2 linked regions of the Caenorhabditis elegans genome follow. The protein of the gene in region 1 interacts with the protein of each later gene in a pairwise test. Each region holds a gene or a part of one and is shown on either strand. Other genes may lie near its edges.

Region 1 (3,757 bases):
TAGATTTCAAACTTATATGCTATTCATAGTTCATTATTGAAGCTTCTAGTTAATTATTATGACATTGAAATATTTTTTTAATTTGCTATCACAAAGAAAGAAACCAATTGTCACATAGAATCAAAAAATTGGCATTTTCTATTCAATAACCCATATATTAAATCAATAATCACTAACGCATAAAATGATCCTAAAATACTTTTGATGATTTTCAAATGATTTGTTCAAGGAAACTTAAAGCAATTTATGTGAAAATTCGATAAAACTCAGTATCAAAGAAAAAATAAAATAAAACCAAATAAAACTAAATAAAACTAGGTAAAACTAAGTAAGTAAGTAAAATCGAAAAAGATTCTAAAATATTTAAAAAAATCAGAAGTCAAAAATCCAATTCTACAAGATGATAAACCGACGAATTAATTTTTGTTCGTAATTCCTAGAACTACTGTGTTTTTCATTGCAGTATTTCTTGCAATACCATTTTTTGACTGTTTATATTTGAAATTCAATATACAAAACTGGAATTTACGTAGGATTCAAACAAAAATGTGCACATTTAGAAACAAAATTATACGAGCATTTTGAAGACGCTGGGAATCATAGAAGATCCATGAAAAATACCATGGGGTGCAAAATTGATACAAAACATACCATACCTAAAATTATTAAACGAAAAACTACACATTAAATATCAAAATAGTTTTAAAAAAATTCGTCATATAAAACATATTCTCTTTCCTCATATTTTTGTTTCGAAGTTTTTGTTTCTATTGTTTATGTTTTCGGCTAGCTTCATCATATTTTGCTTTTCATCCTGCCCATTTGTTGTTCAGTACACATGATTCAAAAACAAAAAAACTGGAAAAAACAGCAAAAACATAAGTTTCTTCATTTTGGATTTCGACCACGTCAGAGATTAACACGGATAAGCCGCGATAATCAGAACTAAACTAAACGATTTTGGAAAGAAGGTCTTCCACACGAACGCGTGTAATTATATAATTAGGAACTTGCATTTCGGGTCAGGTCACTTGAAACCTTTTAGTGTAGTTTAATCGAAACTGCGTTTGACCGCCCGAGACGGGTTTGTGTTAGTTTTTTGTTGTTGAGTATTTGTGACTTATACCAGAAATTGTCACTTTTAGTTTGGTCTTACAGTTTAGAGTATTGGTATATTATCAAATTAGATTTAATTCAATTTTAAACTAATGAAAATGTTTCTACATTGTATGTATTAGCTCACGAAGTGTCTTCTTATCATTCGTAAAATTTGGGAACATGTTGCACTGGCAACAATATTCATGGTTTAGTTTTGTTTAATTTTTTTCCAGAATACATATAATTTTGTATCATTTTTTCATGTATTCTTGTGGCGTCAATGTGTCTCATTTTGGTTTGATCTACGTAGACCTACAAAAAATGCAGGAGTTCAGACGCAGAGTTCTCAACTGATTTTGCACGGTTAAGAACGCGCTGGCGTCAATTTTTTTTCGATTGAAAAACTCCCGCATTTTTTGTAGATGAAACCGTAATGCCTGACACCGTGGGCCTGACACCACGTTTGTATTTGCATTCAAAATATTCATTCATTCAAGATGTGAAGTTAAAATTCATGTTAGTATTAGCTTCATGTAGTTTAGTTGAAAAATGACCACGTGAGAATTACGTTATTGATTAAATATTTCTAGGTATGATTGCCATATTAGCACCCAAATAAATGTCTAATTTTTCTCACCTATTTTTTTCTCGTTCTACATTCAATCTTGATGATTCACTATTTAATCGAAACTAATCTCAGGGTGAATGAATCGAGGGGACGTGATAGATCCGCGCTCGTCGGATGGCACATCATCGGATCAGCGACGAGTGCATGCAGTGCCACCGACACCCATGTATCAGGGAGAGACGAACATTTTAGACTCACTTCTAAAGGAGGCTCAGTTGAATCCAAGTCTGAAAGCGAGTGGTGAGCAATATCGAACCAGGGGTCCTGCAATTCGAAAAACTATTTTTCAGTGATGAACCACCAGGCTCAAACAAAAAGCAAGGATGACGACGAGAAGCGGTTGCAGAAGATGCTCGAAAAATATCAGCTTGAAATGAACATGCAAAGAGCAAACAGCCGGAAGGATTTACATGGAAGTGCAGGACGTGCGTGTGACATTTTTTGTTTTTTTTCTGTTTTTGGTGGATTGATGAAAATAGTATATTATTTCAGCATCACCTATCAGTCATTCTCAGCCATGTCTTATTGCGAGTGGATCAAGATCGTCAGAGTAAGTATTGGTTTTATGATGTTTTTGAAACGTTATACGGTAAACTGTAAAATTTTTTTTGAATGTATCAATAACTTTATCCACAGTGTTTCCCACTATGCATTAATTTCAGCCACACTTTTTAAATAAGGAAATTTGTAGCATTTTTTTTTTCATTTTATAAAATTATAAAAATCGTAGAAAACATTTTGGTGAATTTAATAAGTAGTAAGTGACGAATACTGAAAAATTGCTAGATTTCTCTCTTTTTTTTTTGTGAATAAAAAATTCAAAAATTATAACAAGAGTTTCATTTTTATATTTAATCACTATATTCGTATGGAAAAACTTTTAAACAACTTCCGCACAGGTTTTTAGCTAAACGATTATCTAAAATTAAAACTTCCTACTTTCAAGTTGCATTTCAAAAAACAAACAAACTTTTTTGACAAACTCAACATTTTTCCTGAGATATTTTTTTTACAAAAAAAAGCTTGACCTTCTTCTTTTAAACATTAATAATTTCAGTATTCCCCCAAATGAATCAAAAATGAGCACATCTGCCTATCAGCGTAGGGCATCTGCATCTGGAGATCAAGCACTTGACGTCCCCACATTGAGCCAAACTAACAGAGTAAGAACTTCAACAAGCAACAGCAAAACAAACAATTATTTTAGGGAGTATCCAGCAACCAGAAGCTCATTCAAATTCTCCGCGAGGAGAATGTGCACTTGAAAAAAGAGCTCGACGCTTTCAAGCGCAGTCTTTCAAAACTACAACAGGTTTGTTGGAAGTTTCAAAATAGTGGGAAACCTAAATGCTTGCAGATTGAATACTCATATGCTCGACTGGAAAAAGAATACGAATACTTGGCAAATGAACGAAAAAAGCAAGAAAATTTAGAGCTGAACGTGATTATTCAATTGGAAAAGTCTGTAAAAAAGTAAGTTGGTTGAAAATCTTGTCGGTAAAAAGAGACAACAATTTTCTGATATTTATATCTAATGAAGGCAATATAAAAAAGTTTCCATTTAAAAATGAATTGAAAACTATTTCACAAAATTCACGAGCAGCACTTTTTTGTTGTTTGGGGCAAACTAGACAAACATTGAACACAACTAATATCATTGAAGTTCACAACAATAATGATTTGATTAAACAAACTTGGGCAAAATACTCTTCGCATTTGGCTCTTGCAACTTGCCCAAGTTTGGCCCAAAAAATCTTAACTTGGCTTAGAAGTTGGCTAAACTTGAGAAAAAGGATTGAGACTGCACCAGAGTTTAACCAAAGCCGAACTCTACTCTTACCCTACTTTAAACCCAACTCTTGCCAAACTTTGGCCCAAACTTTTCTTGTTTCGTTTCAAACTTTGGTAGAAGTCTGGCGAGAGTTGGGTGAAACTTGTGTTGAACTTTGGTGTAATTTTTGCCGAAGTCTTGCCTAACTTTTGGCCAAGTTGCGCCAATCCATGTTGATATTTTGTAGGACAAAGTTGGGC
Region 2 (3,757 bases), on another chromosome or scaffold:
AAGTGAGCATTGGAGACACAGAGAATATTGAGAAAATAACCGAAAAACAGAAAAATCTCAAAGTTCAGATCCGGTGTCTTGAGCAGCTTTTGACTTTCTTTTTCTTTCTTTTTTGGAGGAAATAACTTTTTTCCGTGCGTAGAACCTATTTCTATTTAGAAATAACGGATGTGAGGTGAGAGTCTTTTCGTTTTTTTGCTTTGCTTCTAGATTCAAAAAACTTCACTTCAAAATGTCGAATCACTTTGAGCGCACGATACTTGACTATAACTGCACATTCAAACTTTGAACCGAGACGAATTATTTCCTTGTTGTTTTCGTTATCAATTAAACACAGTTTTATAACTACGAATGATCGTTTGTTAAAAGCACATAACTATGAACTGTTTGTCATTTGTCAACCACTGATGTCATTATATTTCAGAAACAAGCTTAAAATCAACAAGTTGTCCAATGTCATGTGTTTTAGAATTGTATGCCTGATTGAATCATCATGCAGCGAACAACAATTACAGAAATAACAAAAAAAGGAGAAGTCTGAATTTTCAGCTGCCCATTTCTATTTTCCTGTTTTAGTCATAAAACTCCTAGAGATTTTAATTAAAATATCGCTGGATTCTAAGAAAAATCATAGTGATTTTATAATCAATTACTATTCATTCCGATAAATCTTCCGGAATCCTGAACTAAATCCATTTTTTGTTCGTCTCTTTTACAATTATTTCCTTCTCTAAGTCTCTTGATCCTATACAATCTCTATTAATTCCGTGCGCAATTTAATTCTCATTTTGATAGATATCCTCTTCTCCGTTTCATTGTCATTCATATCCGACGAGTCAACGAACCGAAATTTTTGTTCCTACAACCTTTTTATTTAGAGTTTTTATACTCATTTTATTCAACTCTTCCAACATAGGTCTTGACCTTTCTTTTAGTATTTCTTACTTTGTCGTCTGGTTGAAAACAATAATGAGAGGGTGTGTTCTGTGGGCAATTTAATTAATGATCAACTAAAAAAGCTTCCTGTTTTCTATAAGTCCAGGTCAATTAGAAATAGATGACAGAAAAATGATTTCTGGCATGGTTGATTCGAATTTTAATTTCTTTAATCAATTCCTCAAATGCGAATTTAGAAGAATAAAATACATAGTTTTTAGGAGGTTAAAGACGAATTAGATTCCATTTGAAAAATTAAACGATTTCAAAAGTAAAATATTTTTGGTTCGAAACTAAAAATTTGTTAATACTCTTTGAAAATTTTTTATCCTGAAAAACTAGTTTTTTGCAAAATGTTCAATTTATTTGCAAGTTTATTTCACTCATCACTAGTTCCACTTTTGCAAAATTTCTGAAAATTTTGGATGATTCAAACATGTTTTCTAATTGTTCATCAGACCTTTTTAAGGTAATATTAAATTTTAATTGAAAATTTCAGATCATTCTTCCCACTAAACTTTAATTCCAATTGAAAAAGACTAGAGAACGTAATATCTTTGAAGACGAGAAAACCGTTGTGACGTAGTCGATTCAATCTTCAAATTTCTTTGTCTCTTTCGTTATTTCCATTCAATTTGACTGATTGGTAGTGACTACTGATATCAGTTCAAAAACTAAGACTATTCTCATAGGTTCATATTAAAAATGACCTCCACACACAATCACACTGGTCACTTCTCATCGCCACGTTTTTTATTTGTTTCGTACAGCAGAGTAGTGTAAATGAGAAAAGTGTCAATAGATCAGGAAGTTGTATATTACACATTTCCTATTTCACTCTCTTCTTCTTTTTCATATTTTCATACTACATTTCAAAGTGCTACCAAAAAAGAAAAAATGACTTCCGATTTGTATATTGAGTTTTCTCTATTTCTAACTTTATCCATATACTCTTTTTTTCCAATAATTTTTGTCTTTTTCTATGTTTTATCCTGCAATATGAATTATTGGTGATAACATCATCAGTCCAAATGAAAAATGGATGAGCTTATGTTTTTCAGAGGAATGGCTCCCGATCCAACTTCTTATGATCGAGTTTTCAAATTTCTTATTTTCGGAGGCAAATCGGTATTTTTTTAAATTAAAATCTTTAAAAATTTAAATTTAAATGTCTCTAGTTTTTAAATTTACTAAATTAGTTATGTACTCTCTATTAGAATTTTTCTGACAAAGGTTTCTAAAAAAATGTATCATATTTTGAGTAGTGGCAGTCAAAATATTTATTTTTATTCAAAAAGTATGAGTAGGGCTACTTAAAATTTCCCATTAAGCTCACAGAGTGGATAAAATTGAGTTTTGATGTTAAAAATTGTTCTTCAACGGCTGTAACTCTAAGAATCATTTAATGAAAAAAAAAATGTATTCAGGTTGGTAAAAAGACGTTGCTCCGATCATTTTGCACAGAAGGAGATAATGAAAGTATTTGGACTTCTCTTACTGTTGATGATGAGAAGGTTTTAATTGAAGCAACTGTTTCACAAAAATGGGAAGAAGGAATGTCAAAAGAGCACGATGCAATTGCTCTTGTTTTTTCTACAACTGATGTATATGTGAGTTATTTCGATTGAAGCTGGCAAATCAAATAAATAAATAATTTCAGAGTTTCGAATACACTTTAGAATTATACAATGAAATTCAAAAATCGACAGAGAGAATTCCCCTTGTGTTCATAGAAAATAAAATAGATATTGTGGAAGATAGTCAAATGGATAAAGGATTAGTTGAAGGAGAAATGAGGAAAAAACATAAGAGACTTTATAGGTTTGCAGATGATTTTTAATAAAAAAATTATAAAAAAATAATTTCAGAGTGTCAGCACTGAAAGAATTCAATGTTATGCATCCATTTGCCTACCTCATCGAGAAATTGACACGACAGAAGAAAGATTTAAACGCGAATGAGAGGTTTGACTCTATTACTTTTCAAATTATTTATTTAAACGTTCTTCTCTTAAATAGCTATATTTTCATTTGACAGTTTTCAGACCTTCTCCAATTATCCAATCTGTAATGAAAATTTCTAAAATTCTAAAATTCTGAATACTATATAAACTGAATAATTCCTTCAACATTTTTTCAGCGTTTCAGAAAACAGTCTTCGTCTGTAAATTCTACATCAACGTCACCACCATCTACTACAGTTGAAGCTTGGGTTGAACCGGTTCCCACGGCGACAACAACTTCGGCTCCCGCACTTAAAAAAGATAAATGCACACTGATGTAGTATTGTTTTTGAGTTTAGATATTTTGTTTTTTCTATTGAACTACGAAAAATCACAGTTTCTTGAGGTATTAATTTTTTGAAACAAATTGGGCGTTACGGTTTTGATCTCTTTTTATTTTCTCTTTTATGAAATCACGAAATAAACCTTTTGAATTTCTGAAAAAATATATATGCTTTTCCGAAATTCTGAATTAAATAAACAGTTTCATAAAATGCACCATGATGCACCATAACGTGATAGAGTGCGATTTCTTGGAATTCGAATTTGAAAAACCGCCAGTTTACACGAGAAATGCGCAAAGACACTTTGCGCCAGCATGCGTCCTTGACGCGTTGTTGTCATTTTATTCATTTTCTCACAGCTTCCACGGATTTTCCTTTTTTTTATTTTCCTTTTTATTTTCCTCAGTCATTTCTCATAAATTTTAATTTCGTAAACGCAAAAATTGTAGAAGAAGAAACTGGTAAGAATAACCGACGAAAATGATGGCCGCACGACTCCTGGGAACGTCGTCTAGAATTTTTAAATTAAATAAGC

Evidence for each region.
Region 2: the proteins of F59C12.3 (region 1) and ZK669.5 interact in a two-hybrid assay, tested with the Caenorhabditis elegans proteins (one large-scale study listed by BioGRID).

The regions. Positions count from the first base shown.
Region 1 is NC_003284.9:16,607,566-16,611,322, reverse strand, and holds the start of F59C12.3 (Angiomotin_C domain-containing protein), read left to right. Parts: upstream 1-1,798; 5' UTR 1,799-1,803; coding exon 1,804-1,966; intron 1,967-2,016; coding exon 2,017-2,151; intron 2,152-2,218; coding exon 2,219-2,276; intron 2,277-2,446; exon of another isoform or gene 2,447-2,671; intron 2,672-2,783; coding exon 2,784-2,889; intron 2,890-2,933; coding exon 2,934-3,038; intron 3,039-3,083; coding exon 3,084-3,199; intron 3,200-3,757.
Region 2 is NC_003280.10:7,945,121-7,948,877, reverse strand, and holds ZK669.5 (GTP-binding protein Rhes), read left to right. Parts: upstream 1-2,000; 5' UTR 2,001-2,001; coding exon 2,002-2,064; intron 2,065-2,363; coding exon 2,364-2,546; intron 2,547-2,596; coding exon 2,597-2,757; intron 2,758-2,804; coding exon 2,805-2,900; intron 2,901-3,075; coding exon of another isoform or gene 3,076-3,083; coding exon 3,084-3,219; 3' UTR 3,220-3,382; downstream 3,383-3,757. Other genes in the region: dbt-1 (Lipoamide acyltransferase component of branched-chain alpha-keto acid dehydrogenase complex, mitochondrial), read left to right, coding at 3,703-3,757.